4 linked regions of the Drosophila melanogaster genome follow. The protein of the gene in region 1 interacts with the protein of each later gene in a pairwise test. Each region holds a gene or a part of one and is shown on either strand. Other genes may lie near its edges. The genes, in order: sob, CG16863, ewg and scrt.

Evidence for each region.
Region 2: the proteins of sob (region 1) and CG16863 interact in a two-hybrid assay, tested with the Drosophila melanogaster proteins (one large-scale study listed by BioGRID).
Region 3: the proteins of sob (region 1) and ewg interact in a two-hybrid assay, tested with the Drosophila melanogaster proteins (one large-scale study listed by BioGRID).
Region 4: the proteins of sob (region 1) and scrt interact in a two-hybrid assay, tested with the Drosophila melanogaster proteins (one large-scale study listed by BioGRID).

Annotation. Positions count from the first base shown.
Region 1 is NT_033779.5:3,577,497-3,582,428, reverse strand, and holds sob (sister of odd and bowl), read left to right. Parts: upstream 1-1,659; 5' UTR 1,660-2,249; coding exon 2,250-3,574; intron 3,575-3,720; coding exon 3,721-4,132; 3' UTR 4,133-4,416; downstream 4,417-4,932. UniProt on the Drosophila melanogaster protein: Pair-rule protein that determines both the size and polarity of even-numbered as well as odd-numbered parasegments during embryogenesis.
Region 2 is NT_033779.5:13,789,214-13,793,783, forward strand, and holds CG16863 (uncharacterized protein), read left to right. Parts: upstream 1-1,745; 5' UTR 1,746-1,814; coding exon 1,815-1,951; exon of another isoform or gene 1,952-2,004; coding exon 2,005-2,382; intron 2,383-2,451; coding exon 2,452-3,922; 3' UTR 3,923-4,051; downstream 4,052-4,570. Other genes in the region: Eato (engulfment ABC transporter in the ovary), read left to right, coding at 1-577, 644-1,088.
Region 3 is NC_004354.4:276,619-281,293, reverse strand, and holds the start of ewg (erect wing), read left to right. Parts: upstream 1-1,659; 5' UTR 1,660-2,109; intron 2,110-4,675. UniProt on the Drosophila melanogaster protein: May function as a positive regulator of transcription in developing and differentiated neurons, regulating common aspects of neuronal differentiation and maintenance. Requirement in the CNS may be higher than in the peripheral system.
Region 4 is NT_037436.4:3,982,188-3,986,949, reverse strand, and holds the start of scrt (scratch), read right to left. Parts: upstream 3,055-4,762; 5' UTR 1,887-3,054; coding exon 1,460-1,886; intron 427-1,459; coding exon 1-426.

The sequences.
Region 1 (4,932 bases):
AATCTCCAGCAAGAGATCATCCTCGCGACGATCATCATCATCCGTAAGCCGGCCACTAAGCGACATAATTGCTACCGTGGGACTGAGGATCTCTGGTCTCCAGACTCCAGACTCCCGGATCATTAAATGCCGCGATCCTAATGCGCTCCAATCAAACACACACGAAACGAGCGTATGACATGTTTGTGCATTATTAATCACGATAATATCTGTATAAATGGTAGAAAACTGAGAGTCCGGTCCAAATTGCAATTTAATGCAAAAATAAATTGCACTCGGTGCTGGACTGGCTCTTTCCAGCAGTTTTTTCCTGCTTATTTCGTGGCCAACCAACCGGCAGCCGGAGAGCTGGCAGCTCCCATGATTATTGGTCATTTACTTGGGCCGTTTAGCGCATTAAGTCCGAGTTCCCCCACTGGACACTCGCGTCTGGGGGCTTTGCATAAAGAATAAGGAAATAATTGACAGTTGAAAAGTCTCAGCTATGATTGCGGCTGTGATTCGAATTGTGATTGGGTTTGCTGTGCCAGCGTATTTTTGATTCTTCTGGCAGCATTCTTCTCTCGCTCTTTCGTCTGCGATTCTGCGGCGATGAGATGGCGTGCGATGAGAATCATTTCAATCAACTGGCTGCGCTTGGGGCTGAAGAAATCAACGCGTTGACTAATGGCCACAATTTGCAAGTGCTAGCAGGTTGATGCACTCGGAAAAATCTCCACTATTGCAAATGGATTTTAAGTGTAATAATTTCCAGGAAACCATCTCAAGGTGTTTCAATCTGACCGCCAATCCAAAGCCTTTTAAGATCGTTAATATTTAATAGATTAGACCATTGTTCCATATTCCTTACTAGGAACTCCACGGTTTCCTTAGATGTCTAGAAAACATCTGGCTTGTAATTCCTTATCAGGCGATCGCAATCCTTTTATGGCCGCCGATCACATTTGATTTTAGTGAATTAAGGGATGTTCGCTTAAAGTTTTCTTCCCTCTATACAATGTTTTCTTGATATAGTAATAAATTATTCGTATGAATAACTTGTAAAAATAGCTATAATATGAGATTTCTTCTTATTGGCAAGTTCATAATGTAAGCTGCATCTGTTACTTGTGCCTAAATCTATATTTAAAACCTTTAATTATCCGTCAAAATTCTTCAGTTTCCAAGGTTAAAAGTACTTAGCAAAGCTTGCGAAATTTCCTAGAAAGAATCATAAACAACTACTTGCAAAAATTATATAAATAAACGAATATTATCAGACAAGAGGGAGCTGGCACGATGGGCGAGAAAGAGATGGCACGACCAGGAGGGAAAGAGAGGGTGGGCAAAACACCCACTCAAAATCAAAATCAAAATCAGGCATATTAACCACAGAAACCGGTTCTCTCTTTCTCACCTTGCACGCGCTCTCGCTCTACCTCTGATTTAAATGCGCGTGTGTGGGTGAGAGCGGGAGTAAAGGTGCTCAGAATACACAGACAAAACGAGTTTGCACCTGGCCAACCTGAATTTCTCCCGCTCTCCGCTCGCTCTTTTCGTGGGTGATCTTGTGGGCCACGCTCTCATCCGCTCTCGCAGGGAGCGATCGCCAATGGCGAGAGAGATGTGGCGATCAACAAGTGAGCGCAGGTCCGCGATATGTCCGCAGAGCAATGGACTTTTAGTTATTCCGTGATCTTTTACCAATATTGTGTGCAGCGACGGCTGATCGACGTCAAGAGAAGAAGAAGAACTGGCAGAATCAGAGAAAATAAACAATATTATATATACGTACATATATATATACATAGCTCAACACGTGTATGTGTCTGTGTTGGCTAAGACCGGAAGTTGCATTAAACGGAAGTTAACTAATAGTAACTGCACATAATTTTAAAGATCGATTGTACCCAAATTGTTCGCGTGTGCTAGCCAGAAGAACTACCATATTATTTCAGTCGAAAAAATCGAAAAAGCGTGCCTGCCAATTTGACTTAACTTGGCTGAGACTGCACTTTGTTGTTTTCGTTTTTGGCCAGACGTCAAATTCGATTTTTATGACTTTTGAAAGCGTGACTAAGACGTGATTTATGATGGCGTGTGGTTTTTAATATTCATGTGGACGCGCTCCGAACCTCTCAACCTGCGTAGGTGCGCCAAACAATAAAAAATACAAAAAATCACCACGGCAACCAGCAACACAGCAACATCGCTGGCCCGAGGCTTTATCCCGATATCCAGCTGAGTGTGTGCGTGGATTCGACTTTTTTATGGAGGCAGTTAAGCATTTGAGTGCCGCTGCTGCTGCTGCAGCTGCAGCTGCAACTTGCAGCGATTCGCCGGCCAAGGCAGCAGCCTCACCGGCAGCAAGCAGCGATATTGCCGAGGCGCTTGGAGAACTCAAGGCAAGCGCAACAGCAGCAGCATCATCAGCTAGCAAGGCAGCAACATCGAAGCACCACAGCAACAACAACCACAAGCCAAGTGCCGCAGCAACAGCCACAGCAGCGCACAAGAAAAGCGAGAGTTGCAACAGCAACGGCAACAAGTGCACCGCTGCAACATCGCCGATCGGCAGTAAGACCAGCAACGCAGCCATGGCAGCTGCAACAGCAACGGCGGCCGCAGCAACCAACGATCTTGCAGCGGCTGCTGCGGTCGTTCTTTCGCTGCAAGGAACCATGGTCAGCAGTTTGCAGCAGGCCGCCCTACTGCCGGCCAATTCGGCGGCAGCAGCAGCTCTTAATCTCCAGGCCCTGGAATCCTATTTGGCGCTGCAGCGACTAACCGGGAAATCGGATGTATTTCGCTTTTCCAACAGCAACACCGGCAGCAGCAACAGCAACAACGCCACCACCTGCAACAGCAGCAGCAGTGAAGCGGACAACAATGCCTTACCCTCGCTCATCGATATAGCCAATATAGAGCTCAAGTCGAGCTGCTCCTCCAGCTCCTCGGGGGAACCCCCTTTGACGGCAGCGACAGCATCAGCTGCCGCCACATCCTCGCCCAGCAGCAACAACAGCAACTCCACCAGCACACCAACAACATCCAAGTGCGTGCCTCTGCCCTCCATTGGCACCGTTAGTGCTGCAGTGGCGGCTGCTGCGGCTGCCGCAGCAGCTGCTGCGAGCCAACAGGCGGCGCTGGACTGCGCAACAGCCGCAGAACTGGCAGCAGAGTGCGACTTACCGTTGCTCGATGGCGAGGATGCTCTCTCCTTCGAGGCGGGAGATTTGGACAGCAGCTATGGAAGCTTCATGTTTAATCCCTCAGCCTTCAGCCAGGCGGAAACGGACTCGGCTCTGCACTCGCTGCAGGCCACCATGTACCAGGACAAGATGAGTGTCATTTCGGGAGCGGCTGGCGGCGTAGGTGCAGGTGCGGTAGGAGGGCTGGAGGAGGCGGGCAGCTCGGCGGCGGCAGCGGCAGCCCAGCGGTCCAAGAAGCAGTTCATATGCAAATTCTGCAACCGACAGTTCACCAAGTCCTACAATCTGCTCATCCACGAAAGAACGCACACGGACGAGAGGCCTTACTCCTGCGACATCTGCGGCAAGGCCTTCAGGAGGCAGGATCATCTGAGGGATCATAGGTAGGTCAAAAATAGCGGATAAGCTACTTCATGGTATAATAAGAAATGATCCTTCTCTTGAGAATCACTCTGTCACAAAAGACTAGCATTTGGTTTCCATAAAAATCTAACCCACCATTCTCCTCATTCATTTTGGTAACCCGCAGATATATCCACTCCAAGGAGAAGCCCTTCAAGTGCGCGGAGTGCGGCAAGGGATTCTGTCAGTCCCGCACTCTGGCTGTCCACAAGATCCTGCACATGGAGGAGTCGCCGCACAAGTGCCCCGTGTGCAATCGCTCCTTCAACCAGCGTTCCAATCTGAAGACCCACCTGCTCACCCACACCGACATCAAGCCGTACAACTGCGCCTCCTGCGGGAAAGTCTTCCGGCGGAACTGCGACTTGCGACGTCACAGCCTGACGCATAACTTGTCCGCCGGAGTGGGCGGTGTGGTGGGTGGCAACCTAAGTGATCCATTTGGCTCCGGCTCCAGCTCCAGCTCGGAGTTGGGCTTGCCCACGGGCTCCGCCAGTACTGCAGCATCCTCCAGAGATTTGGTGGCCGTCAGCGATTGATCTTCCTCAGCTGATTCCTCACTCTTTGATACCCACTCAATAAAATAAAATCTCAATTGCAGCTCTCATGAATACGAATCCCTCCATTTCGTAATCGTAATCTTAGTACGACTAAACAGCATTTAGTTTAGTGTAAGTTTAGCCTTAGCTACTTTGGTTTAAGCCTTGGATATTTGTGACGTAAGCATAGCAGGAAAGTTTGACTTTGCGTAAATTAACGTTAGATATTAAGTTAAATTGTGGACTCTTAATGTACGATCGAATAAAAGACAATAGCTTAAAGGAAATTGTGCACATGGCTTTTTATTGTTGACTTGGGCTTATGGTTATAGAAAGGTTTTCTTGAGACTAAAAAGAACGTTAGTTGTATTATAATTTGAATATTCTAGAATTTTACCACGGGTATGGAGTTTGAGTTGTTTGAGTTTCCAAAGGCCTGTTGTTCATTTCAAAATTCAAGAATTTTCCAAAACGTTTTTCTCACCCTTTCTACCTTTCTACCGCTTTGATTCCACTCTTGTACTTACACTATTTACGCACTTGTAGCGAACTAAAATCAAATATTTGTACCGATGTTTATCGCTCGAGTGCCAACAAGGGCAATTAATGTAGCATTAAGGTGCACACCTTCAAACACCTCTTTCAACAAGCCTTTGACAACAAACAAAACAAGATCGACAATAGTGGGGCTAAAACAAAGAAATGCCCATATTTTCCCACCACTTCCAGGCTGTTCCACATTTCCAGTCAAATAATGTCGTACAAGCCGGTGGACAAGTGGAGCAGGCGCTATCTCATCG
Region 2 (4,570 bases), about 10 Mb from region 1:
ACAATCTTCGCAAGCGATACGGCGATAAGCTGGCTGTGGACGGAGTCAGCTTTGCGGCTGCCCAGGGTGAATGCTTTGGTCTGTTGGGTGTTAACGGAGCGGGTAAGACAAGTACCTTTCAGATGATAGCGGCCAATTTGCCTCTAGATGGTGGCACTATCCGCATCAAAGGCGCAGACATTCGCGAGCATGAGTTGAAATACCGGGAATACTTTGGCTACTGCCCTCAGTACGATGCACTAAATAAATTCATGACCGCCGAGCAGTGCCTATACTACATGGCATTGCTGCGCGGCCTGAGCCGCCGAAGGACCGATGGACCAGCCAGCTGCAAGGAGCACGTGAAGTACTGGCTAGAGAAGATGCATTTGACCAAATATCAAAAGGTGCAAGTGCGCCACTATTCGGGCGGCACGAAACGCAAGCTTCTGGCGGCAATGGCCATGATTGGTGCACCCGCACTGGTGCTCCTGGACGAACCTACCACCGGTGTGGATCCCATCTCGAGACGATTTCTTTGGCAATGCATCAAGGATTTCCAGGGAAAGGATCGAACAGTGGTGCTCACATCACATAGGTAAGCCCAAAAAAGTATATTTCCTTTTCAAACAGATTCAAAAGTGTACACATTCTCTACAAACAGCATGGACGAGTGCGAAGAGCTGTGCAATCGCTTGGCCATCATGGCGCACGGAAAGTTCAAGTGTCTGAACAATATTTGCGCCCTTAAGCGATTAAGCGGCTTCACGATAAAACTGAAAATGAAGGCGGACACCGAAACGGAGATGAATGTGTCCACGATCACTGGCACGTTGAAGTCAGAGTTTCCTGGTCTGGAACTGCGCGAGAGCCATGCCGGCACACTCACCTACTTTGTTAGCACGCAGGAGAGTGTGGTCCTTTGGTCAAGTGTTTTCAAGATAGCTGAGGAATATCTGGGCGATCGCTTAAGCGCTCTCGTGGCCGACTATTCGGTGAACGAGTGCACACTCGAGGATATTTTCCTCAAGTTCGAGAGAGAGGCGAAATCACAATCGACGTCACGTCAAACCTCCGTGCAACGCAGGCCGGAATGCAGCTACGTTTAGGCCAGATAGTCGGAGTGTCGGAGTATCAAGTAAGATAAGCAGAAGACGGGCGTCGTACATTTCATTATTTCCCTCAAATATGGAACTTTTATGAATCTCTATCCGGTGGGAATAATCTACTTAATGTATTTAGGGACTAATAAAACCAAACAAACACCTTCGACATGGGTATATAAAACTAAAATATAAAAGTAAGATATAACTAGTACGACAAATAAATAATATTTTTTATTTATATTATAATAAATATTTCTACATAATATTTGATGTGCATTGATTATGGGATTAAGGTAAATTATCATAATTCAAAAGAAGTTAAAAACAGTTTTATACCCTTCTATTGGTAGAGGAACAGGTATCTGATTGACGGGGAACTCGACTATAGCATTCTCCCGTTTTTTTTTTTTTTTAATTTAAAATCTCCCGCCTTAGTATTTTTAAAATACCACTCATAATAATACCAAAAGGAACTTTAAACGATCTATATTTGGAATTTAACGATTCATTCAAGAATTAAAAGTAATACATAATGTAATTTTTTTATCCAGCTTGACTATTGAATATTTAATTATGAGAAAAATAAATATAAAACTATTATTACTTGGACGACTTAGGCGCTAATGGAAATGTCAAATTCTCAAAAAATCTCCCACTTGGCCACACTAATGTAGCGTTATTTACAAAATATTCATTTTTTTCGTCGTTAATTTATCGTTTATGCCGAATATGTCGCGTAGCAGAATATGGAAGTTCTACGACAAGTTGGATCGGAATTCCGCGCAGTGCCAGCTCTGCGAGAAAGTAATCAAGACAAGCGGCAACACGTCCAATCTGATGAAGCACATGAAGACCCATCCGCAGATGTAGGAAAGGCTCCTGAGTTCAAAAACCTTTCACAATGAAAATTTTCTTGAAGAAACCTCTTCGACGACGATGTGGTGGTGGAGCGGGGCATATACAAGCGGCGGGAGCAGGATGACAAGCTGCGATTCCGGAAGGTTGTTCCCTTCAAGGAAGAGAGCTCTGATTTCCACAGCGAGCTGTTGTTCAAGGCTGCCAAGGATGCGAGCGGCATTATCGAGCTGGATGATCAAGGAATGATCAAGGCGGCTGCTGAGGATCGCATCTCAACAAAGAGCGTCGGGTATGCGTGGGTCTCTCCGGAGGCCACAGTGTCCCGAACGGAGACGGTTGGCGGCGACGATATCATCGAATTCGAACCCAAGGAGGAGCTCGATGAGTCGGAGAAAAGCCCACTTCCCCAAATTCATGCTGTACCATTTGCCGGCCATGAGTAAGTTTTAATCAAAAGATAGAAGGTAGAAGATAGATACAATTGTAGTAAACTTCATTTATTACCCAGCAACTTAAAAATGGAAGAACCTCTGCCGAGCGAGAGTCCGTTTCACAAGGACATTGCCTTCTTTGTCTGCCGTGACCGCCAGTCATTGCAGATTGTGCAGGGCGAGGGATTCCAGCACCTAGTGAAAGTACTGTGCCCCACCTACAGACCACCGAGTGCGGCGAAACTGGAGGCCATTATCTGCAGGGAGTCGGAAGCGCAGAGGTCCAAGCTCTGCCAGCAGTTGGCCGACATCTCGACACTCAGCCTAAGTTGCTCGGTGCACACGAATGCGGAGAGTCGAAGCTGGATGGAGCTGGTGGCCCACTTTCACGAGGGGCGGCAACGAATCTCCCGAACTCTTTCTGTGCTGCGCCTTCCCGATCTTTTCACCTCCAACGATCTGGTGGATCGCATGGACCAAGTGTGTCAGCGCTTCGACATTCCAAAGTCAAGGATCTGCTGCGTGTCGACAAGGAGCAGTCAACTACTGGAGGATGCGGTGACATCGTTCATGGGCGCTCATCATCATGTTCCCTGCTTCGCAGACCAATTGAATTCTATTTTAGAGGAGGTGGTGCAGCGCCCAGAAATACGTCATTTGCGCGACAAGGTGCGTTCCCATGTGCAGTCCACATTGCAGCTGAATCCCCAACTGGATTCCATACACCGACCGATTAGTGTGTACAATATGCTAGACTTATACCTGAAACAGACTCTCGTTCAAGAGCCGCTGCCGCTTTCGACATCGGAGGTGGATTTGTGTCAGCAATTGCTGGACGTGCTGAGGCCGTTGACCAGCTCCATGCGTGAGCTAAGTCGAACACCATATCCGGCGGCCAGCACAGCCCTGCCCATTGCCCAAACTCTGATCAACGAACTGAAGCAGGAGAAGAGTGCGGAACACATGGTTGCCAGGGAAATACGCTTGTTCCTGGTTCAGCAGCTGGAGGAGATCTTCGAACGAATGGAGCGCAACTTGCACCTGGCATTGGCAAGTCTGCTGGACCCACGCTTTCGAAATATTCCCTTCCGGAGTGGGGCCCTGGTGGCCCAGTACATGACTCAACTCTATGACATGATGCAGGCGCATGTGGACAGCGGGGAGCAAGCTGTTGCAAAGCATCCGGAGAACCGTGATCACTACGATATCTGGGCGGCATTCAAATCCTTTTCGCATGGGAAGCAAAGGATTGTAAACGGCAGCAACGGTCCCGAGGCGGACGATGAGATAGCCAGATACTTTTGCGCCGGCATGAGTACCCTGCGAGCCGATCCCTTTCAGCTCTGGGAGGAACTGGCCGAAGCTCACCCCTTCCTGCACAACGTAGCACAGAGGTACCTGCACGTTCCGGCCACCGCAGAGCCGGCGGATCGGCTATTTACGGCCGAAGGAGCGGCGGTTGCGGCGCAGTACGCCAGACTAATCGAAAACAACATGGAAAACATACTCTTCATGGCGGAAATTCCAACGAAGGAGTGGCAGTTATAGCGTAGTCCATAATCAATCCAAACCTAAGTTGAGCACTGTGTTTTTGTACCCCTTTTATTAACTAATTTATTAATTTACATTTACAATAATGCGAACTATAAAATACATTTTTTAACTTTTTAGCTTCTCAAGCGTTAAGGAACTATTTTTGTATTAGAAAATTAGAGGTAGGGAACGAATAACGAACACATATTCATTAAAGATTTGTAAGTACTATTTACTACACATATTTACACAAATAATTTATTTTAAATATAACTTTATTGTTTACTTTTTTCTTTTGTTATCACAAATCGCCGTTACAAATTCAAATAACAATAACACCAGCAAATTAGCAAAAATACCAAAACCGAGAGAATACCAAAAACTTCCCAACACTGCCGACAGCTCAGTAATTTTCGCTTACACGGTCACACTTCTGATGACGTTTTTTCGTATTTTGAAGGGAATGTAAATGTGGAAAAACTGAGAGATTTGCAACATGCAAACATCCACGACACGCTAAAAACTCACCGAGTGCCGCCACACGACAATCCAACCGAGAGGAGCACTCCGCACAGCTGGCGGAGCACCCAGAAGGCAGCAGGCGAAAGTTGCGTGGCTGTTGTTTCCGGAAGCGGTGGGCAGAGGGAAATCCGAAGCAGTGGT
Region 3 (4,675 bases), on another chromosome or scaffold:
AGTTTCGATTATGCAGAACCGATAAGGCCAGTTCGTGTAGAATTCCGGAAGAATTGCCGATAAGGAATAAGTAGGGCCAAGTTTCAGATAAATCCAAAGCCACTATGGGGAATTTGATTCGTTTTTTGGCATAAATGTGTTTTTAAAAATGTTTCAATTGTTGAACACTTTTTTCTTAACGGATTAAGATCAAGGCTTAAGTTATGTAACGCAAATGTAAATTAATCAATGTTAAAAACCACGTGCCATCGATGACCTTCTTTTTTAGTGCTTACGAAAATTAATTGAGTTTCAAAAAATTTTTGATATGTGTGTTAGTCAATGTTTTAGAGTGATTAATTACCTACTTAGAACACATACGGTTAACGCGACTTTTGCGAATGCTACTTATTGTGACTTTTCGCGAAGATTACATTTTTAGGTAGCAATCAGCAATGCGGCCCTGATAGAAGTGTACGAAATGCGACTCTGAAAGATTTTTTTATCAATAAAAATGTTAAGAGACTTAAGTTTGTACCGATTGTGGACAATCTAAAACATGGTGTAACTCCAATACATTGGTGGATTAGATAGAATATATTGATTTAAAAAAAAAATTTTATGGGAGTGGGCGGGGCACCCACTTTGCCAAAATAATTCTAAATTCATCGTATCTTAAATAGTTTACGAGATATTAATTTATGCCAATAAAACATGTTAAATTCCCCATAGTGCAAGCGCACTACCAGCCTCATTTCACAGCGATAAGCAACTTGTGGTTTCTTTTTATATAATATGAATTCTTTGGTTTTTACATACGGGCAATCTGTGTTAAAAAAAAACAATTCCTTTTATCACTATATACATCCTAATAATGAATTTTATTGTGTGAGTGCCGACGACGGACATAAAAACCCAACATTTTTGGTGGCAAGCAGTTAGTCGTCTTCGGTCGTTCTAGTTTACCAATCCTTCAGGATTTCATATCCCTAAACTATTTTTTTGTTTTTTATTTTTTGTTAAATTTCCCGCGTGTGAAATACGAAGTTGATTGTATGTCAGTTTTTCATTTGGCCTGGCTAGCTTACTCCTTTTTAAATATTGCTAGCTGCCTTGTGAAGGGCTTACGTGTAATTGCAGTTCGACTCCCGAATAATAAATTTTTCGACTGTTTAAAATTTACCATTATTTTGGGGTATCCTAAAAGTTTTGTTACATTAATAACTACATCTGATTAATTCGTGGATCAAATGTTGTATATTCTTTGTAGCGTTCATAATATAAACCTTTAAAAAAAGCTACTAATAAACTGTCTCTTATCAGATACGGAGATGGTGGAGTGCTAGAGAGAAATTTAAAAACTCTTCTAAAAAATAACAAACTAAATAAATATGAAACTATTATAAATATGTGAGTGTAATAGAGGACGTGGCAAGCCCAGGGAACAAATTTTCCCTGCATAGAAAGACTAAAATCTTTTTGGCACCAGAAAACTTAAATTTCTTATATCAAAAATTATTATTATATTATTATATTTATGGATTATTATATGCTTACTCAAAAATATACAATCAATTTTTCAACTAATATAAGTCCGCTAGGGGGACTTGAATTTAAACTTAAATAGCACAATTAGTGGGACCGCCAATCCTCGTTTCTCCTATGCATTTTAGAGTGACCGCTTTCCTTCGACTGCGATATGTATTGCGTGTACATTATCGACGTCTGAAAAAATCACGCGTGCTGTATATCGATATTTGTCATGTACTAAATACCATTCCTCGGCTAAATTAAATCGCAAAATTGCGTCGAAACTTGGGGAAAAGTGCTGGGACAGGCAGCTGAAAACTAAGCTAACGGAAAAGCATCGTGAGGGAAAACAGCGAAACTTTGCGAGCGGGAAATTTTGGAGCTACAACCTAGAAACGGCAGTGCGCAAATGTAAAATGCACGGAATATTCGCATGTGCAGTGTGATAATAAATAAACGCCAAAGAAAATTTTCGGCGCAGGGGCAAACACACCAATGCACAATAGCGGCGGCGCGTTCGTGTGCGTGCGCCTTTTTTTTCTTTGTGAGTGTGTATGTGTGTTATCATAAAGGAGCTGGAAAAACAACAAAAATACACAGGTGCGTATGTGGGTGTAAACTAGTGGTAGGGGTCAACAAATTTTCCGATTTTCCACTGTGACAGTCTATAATTTATATGTGTATATAGAGATTTGTAGTGGCATAAGTGAATGCCCAAAAGTTTCGGAGTTTCTGAGCTAACGGTTCTTGCTGGCTTGTGTGTGTGTATTAGGTTATCATATATGTGTGCTGGTGTATTTAGCTTGTGTTACCGTTACATCGGCGCCGTAAATGAAAATCCAACTGCGAGTGTCCGTAACTTAACCATGCGCCTCAGCTAAAAGTTAAAACAAAGACAGGAAACTCCGATAGGAAGGATGATGTGTAAAGTAGGGTTGTAGAATAGAAACGCCAAACAGGTATCACTTCCAATTGTGTGCACGACAGCACACGCATTTCCCATTTGCATTGGAAGGTATGCGTGTTTTTGATGCATCTGTGTCTGTGTGATTCTGACGTTTTTGGGGTTGCGAAAAACACCCAAACCACCCCCTAGAGACGAAAAATTTGTAGATACACACATGGATAAACAGAGCGGGATGGCTAGCTCACAGCAACCTTCATTGGGTTTTTCCAGTTCCAATAGTGAAGGACGCCACTGTTATAGGTTGTATTGGGGTGGGCTATAAAAGTACAGTTCCAATTGGAACAGGGCAACGGCCAGCCTACAATTACAGATTATATTTGTTACATCTTTTAAATCTAAGGAATAAGAGTATTTTATTTATTTTATGGCCGATTTAAACACATGCCTAACAAAAATAGTTTCTACTCGAGATGAGTTTAAGATAGTCAAGAACATTTAATAGCTCAAACAAATATAAAAATTTAGACATAACAAGAAGATTACATTTTTGCTGGTATTTTCCTGTTTCCCCGACTATAAACTCCTACGAACTCTTACTGTTGGTTGTATATGTACATACATATGTATATTTCTGTCACTGCATTGCTATGAACAGTGGTGGTCTTTGCGCCGACTCCACTGCCGCGACAACCTTCGCATGCGTAACTTGCCTCTCGTTTGTATTTTCGCTGTTATCATTTCATTTTTGTAGAGCTGTGCTGTCCAGCACAGAAAAAAGAGTATGGTGGGAAATTAAGAGAGGGAGAGAGAGAAACAGCAGTACCAAGAAAATTCGATTGTGGGAAAGGGAAAGTAAAAAAACACGGTGGGGTCAATTCTTTGCAGAACATAACAAATTGTCTTATCATAATTTGGTAATTATTGCGGCTGTTAGTCTTGCATGCTTAAAATTATAAAAAAGTGTCTTAAGGTATTTTTAATTTTCCTATATATGTATAGATAGAATAAACGATACTTCGATGTAAACGGCAGTAACTTTTTGGAGTTTACGGAAGCTGGGGTTAAAGAATTTAAATATTCAAAAATAATGAAATATTCACGAATACTAAAAATTGCCTTAAGAATACATATAAAACGCGAAAGCACACATACGCTTACATTAAATAGTAAATTGAGAAAACACCGAATAAGAAGAATTTATGATCGGATACAACAAGAGTATAATTTCTTTTCTAATATTTTGATCAAATTGAAACCGAAATTATGATGTCAAAAACGGCTTTTACGAGTATACGCTTTGTGCGAAATATAAAAACAAACTAGGATTCTTTTTCCTCAATTTCCCTGTGACTTTTCGACTTCTCGATGCAATTACAACCGAAATATATTGAAGTGTATATATGTATATATATATATATATACTTATGTATATATATGTACAGATGTTAAAACAACGATGCTACACTTTTTTAAATTATTTTTTTTTTTATTATTCCGTACCGAATAATATACCATGTGCAAGACAAAGAATACTCTTGGAAAAGGTGCAAGCATATAACATTAAAACTAAGAGAATAATTTTCGTAGACACGTATAGACGGACGTGGCTTTGTCGCCTGTGGTGTTGACACTGATCAAGAATAGTATACATCGCAAATGCCTTCTTTACAGTGTTGCTAACTTCCGACACAAAGTTTAGTTGCGCTTACTGCAACCTGTGGGCATCACTGTGTAGGCCTTAAATCTTAAAGGACTCTAAAATGGCCTACTTCTATAATTAGAAAGAAAACCTGAAGACTACATCCAACAAACGCAGAGCTTTTTAATTTGGCAATACTTTAGGTTCCTTCACACAATTTCATCACCCACCTTTTTCAGAATCCGGATAAGAATGTATATATGTATGTGTCTTAGGGGGTGAACATATACTCTCTCTACTCTTTTCCCCTTTCTCTCATCATCAGATGCCTATTTTGATTACAATCAAGGTTTAGAAGTGTGCTCACTTTTGCTGGGCCACTTTTCTCGATATATGTGTGGCACGCGCAAGTGGGTCGTGCTCACATCCCCTATAAGGACGTGGGAGTTGGTGGTGTTCCCACTGCATTGTTTCGCGGGGGTGATTGGGTAGTTCGAGTAGTGCATGCGTGGTAGTTTAAAAAAGATCCAAGGAAAATAAATAAAAACACTGCATAAGATAGTTTCATCGTGAGGTGCACCTCGAGCTGGGCGAGTTTGCGTGTGTATTCAGTGCGGTGA
Region 4 (4,762 bases), on another chromosome or scaffold:
GGAAGGCTGTGCTCGCACTCAGATCCAGGATAGCATGTGCCGCATGCAGGTCCTCCTCCGCCGGTACCCTTCTTCGATAGCCGTGCGCCGGCTTGTCGTCCAAGGAATACGGCCTGTAGATGTCCTTCTTCTTCGGCGGCAGCGACAGTGTGGCTCCCGTACTGCTGAAGCACTTCCTTTCACTGGAGGTCTGTCCACTCGAGAGCGGACTGTACCGATCGCCGGCGCCGCTGGGCGAACAAGAGGGTGATGACGTGGTGGACGAGGGCGGCGTTTGGTAGGCGGCCAGGTGCTGATCTCCACTTCCGTTTCCGGATGTCCTGGCTGCCACCAGAGCTGTAGCCGCGGCACGGATCACGGTTATCTCGCTCTCCATGCGGGGCAGGTACGCGGTGTAGTGCAGCGGCGAAAGTTCGCGGGTGTAGCCTGTAAAAAGCAGAAAAAATTAAATCATGGGTTAAGTTTTATTCAGCAGCATTTATCATGGTTCCTGAAGTATGCTACACTTTTTTCTTTTGAAATAAGAGTTTCAGTCATTGTAATGTTTTTGTGCCGGAAAATATACTTAATGTAGTCGGATGTAGAGTATATGATTCGCTTAAACTTCCTAGACATGCACTTATAATTTCTTTGTGATTATAATTTTTCCGTTTCCTTTTCTTTATAAGCTGCCAAAACATTTACCCTCTGCCATTCTTAAGATATTTTCTTTAACAAACTTTAAACAATAGCTTTCATTTAAATATGAAGGACTGACACATGCGTATAATTTCTTTTAACCAAGGGCAAACTTTAAAAGGTCAACATAAATATCAAAGACCACGCCTGGAGTTGTGCTAAGATAACTATTTTGTATGTGCTGGAAAATATTATGTTTGCTCAAAGGATTTTCTCCGCAAAATAAGAACTTTGGCGAAGTAGAAAAGTACACAGAAGAGCAACAGCTCACAGCTAAAAAATGGGTTAGTGCAATTACTTTAAATCTGTTTCGTAGTAAGTTATTTTTAGCTTTTAAAGCCTAAACCTATAGAAAGGATGTCTATTGTGAGTGGTTTTTAGGTCTGCCTTGCTTCTAATTTCCACTGAATAATTAATTTCGCAATTGTACGTGGAAAACAGTGACAGGCACACATTCAACAAAAAGGACGAAGGCAAACGGTTTAATTTTGGCCTGTACCATTGTTTTCACGCCAAAGGGAATGGAAACCGAGCTGGAAGTTGGCAGTAGGAAGTCGGCGAGGGTCTGTGCGTTCTGCGTTTTGTGGCCCGCTGGCCGGAATTGCAAACAATATTGAGTGACAACAAAGGCAATTAAATTGATTCGGAATTGTTTCGCAATCGCACAATGGCCACATCAATGACAGCGATTACGTGCGCCCCATCTCGATTTCCACCACCCCCGCCTCACTGGCTGGAGCAGTGTTTTCCGATTTCCCGACTTTCCCGAGGGCTAACTTACCGTTGTAAACATTGCCGGCCACTCGCGTCGCCGCCTCCGGCGAATGGGGAGGCGGACTTGGAGCCGTGGTGCCCGCCGTGGGTGAACTGGGTCCCCAGCACTTGGACGTCGTCGTCGTCGCCGATGCCTCCATGTTGCTGCTGTTGCTGCTGTGCGATGTTGCTGCTTCGGATGATGTTGCTGCTGCTGCGGCAGCATCTGCTGTTGTGCGTTGCTTCTCCAATTTGATCAGGAATTTGTCGCCCACCACATCGATCTCCTCGTCGTCGTCCAGGGTGGAGCGTCTGGACTTGAGATGCAGCTCCTCCAGTTCGCGAGGCGAGTTGGGGGCACTCTGCTCCTGCTGCTGTTGCTGGTTGCTAGTATCCTCCGTCCGATCCAGCCAGGGATAGGCCTTCCACTTCTTGGCTATCAGGCAGCGCGGCATTTTCTGTGTTTTTTTTTTTCTTTGTAGATTAGAGGTTTTGGAGTTGGAGTTGGAGTTTTGGCTAGGAGCTTGATCAGGATCCAGTTAGTAGATCTTAGAGGGCTAAGTGCTGAAGCTAGTGTCGAGTTTCGAGCGAGCAAAGACCGTCTCAGGGGGTATTATTTGTGGCAAAAGCGGAAAGGAAACGTTGCTGTTGTTATCTCGCATGGGAAAATATATATATTAATATATATATATATATATATATATATTGTATATAGAGTTTGGCTCGCCGAAAGATCTCTTAAAGTTTTAGTCGTACAGCTTGTTGAATTTCAGGCCTGGCATTTCTGCCGTGTCTCGTGTGTCTGTCTGTGTGTGTGGAGTGGAGTGGTGTGGTCTGGTGCGTTTCGGTTAAATATTCTTAGTAATTTGCATTTTATTGTAAATTGGTTTGGTTTTTAGTTAGGATTCCTCGGGTTTCACAGCCACTTCACACATTTCGGCGCTTGATTCGTTGTCAGACCCGTATCCGTCATTTGGGCTGGAGTTTCGAGTCGCTCTCTCTGCTCTGTTCTGCTCTGCTTTACTTTGCTTTGCTTTGCTTTTCTTGTATTTTTTTTTTTCTTTTTGGGCCGGAGTTTTTGCGTTTTTGGCCAGGGCCACCGATTTTTGGTCAGTTCCCCCCGTTCAATCCCCTCGCTCCACGAAACACACACGGACACGTTCGCGTTCAGTTGGCTGGCTGCGTGTGGCTTATCGATTTTTACATTTACATTTGCGTTTACGTTCACGTTTGTTTTCAACACGGAATTGAACTCAAAACATAACGGGGGGACGATTTTTGAACGAATCTTTGGGGTATCCTTTCAACTCTTTTTGGGCTGGCAATTTTCTCCTCGGGTTTTTGGAAAACAAAACTTTGTCAATGGCCGTCGAGACGAAAATAAATGTTTTGGTTTGCAGTTTCAGTTTAAAAACGGAAAGTTGACAGATTGGTAGTGGTAGAGTTGTAGTTTGTTGTTTTTGAGAAAGTTAAGGTTGACGCGAGTTGAGAATAGTTGAGTTGTTATTATTGTTGTTGTTGTTGGTAGTGAAAAAATTGATTTAGGAGAAAATATAATATTATATAAGATAGAGAAGAAATGCGAACGAACCGAACGTAAGCAACTCTTGAATGCTTATGAGAGTCTTGCGGCCCGAGAGCCCGCTTATAAGGGTGGTCCACCCCCAGCATAACGACAGCCAGCCGAACCGCGTCGCCTTGCAGCCGAAACGAGCCGAAGGGAAGAGCGAGAGCACTGGAGCGCCAGAGAGCGGAACGCTGAGAGCGGCACAGCCCCTAAGTTCCAACCCCCAGAAAGGAAGCGCATAGCTGTTGCTATTGCTGTTGCTCGTCCTGTGGGCTGGTACACACGATGGAATATGCTCAAGAAACCTAAATCACTGAAATAACATAAGGTAATAGCGGCCAAAAGAATAAAACATAACTTAGTGCTGGCCTTCATGCCTAAAATACCAGTGAAACCCTTAAAAACAAAGAGTTTTCTAACATATCTTCTAAGAAATCGCATCGTGTGCCAGCGCCCTAGAGCAAAGGCAACAATCAGGAAGTGTTTCATTGCCAAAACATTCCCCGCTGTTGCTTTCTCCCGATTTCAAAATTGTTGCGCCTCTCTCTTTCCATTTCCCCACCTTCTCCCACTCGGTCTCTTTCTTTCGACGTGGAGGCACCGGACCCCCAGCCATACCTGAGAATTGGCTCATGGCTCTTTGGCCCTTTTGGAACTTTTTCGGCTTGGGGCTCGCGGCTCTTGCCTCTTGGCTCTTGGCCGCCTGAGGCTCCCATTCACGATACACGGGGTGGATTTTGCGCCCAGAATGTGGCAGTTGTGCCGAGTTAATTGCTGTTGCATTGCATTTGTTGCTGGCTCTGATTTTGAACAAATTGCCAGCGACGGGATGGCCAAAGGGGGGTGTACGCTACTTTCCCGTAAACATATATACTATGCTGGTTGGGGTAACGGGTTGAGGGGATGCAACAGTCGCTGGTCCTTGGCCCTAACTCAGTTAGTACAAGATAAACAGCACAAACTAACTTCTGTCGCCCTCGTCTCTCTGCACTGACGGCTCTCCACTGGCCATGAATAAGTGGTTTACTTTTCAGATCACAGAGGTCGGATATGAGTGCGGCAACTCAAATCGTTGGATGATTAATTGCAGCTCCTGCCGAGTTGGGTTTGATTGACAGCTGGATGTGTCATATGCCACACTCCCAGTATGAAATGAACACGATTTTGGGATGGATTTCCAGGGTTTTTTGATGCCCGCAAAGGGGTCCAGCTATGTGAAGTCTATAGCAATATTTATATTTGTAAAAACATTTGTTTGGCTATTAATTGAACCTATTAGAACTAGAATCATTATCTAGAGATAACTCGTAACATACTACTTTAAAATGTAGTACTAACCTTACTTCGATTAAAGTAAAAACCTTAGAGAATCCTTGAAATGCTTTCAAACAATGCGTTCAAGATGACCCACCATAAAATCCCTAGAACATCTTGAGAAGCGACTTACTTACATATACAATCTGTTCGCATTCCCAGTCAGTGCAACACACACAAAACTAATTAATTAAAGTGGAGCTTCGGTTAGCTGAACGGGGAGCTCGGGCTTTGCATAATCAGACACTTAAATTACAAAGTTCTTAACCTTTTAATTAGCCAGCGACAACAGACAATTTGTCTGCCTCAGACGAGCTTAGCGTCGCTTCTGCAGCGGCTGCAGTCCTTAAAAATTATATATACTTTTCATTGGAATTTTCATTCGGTTTACTATGGTATCCCCCGGGGTCCTTCGTTGAACCCACTTCCTGTGCCCCACTCGAAACAGAT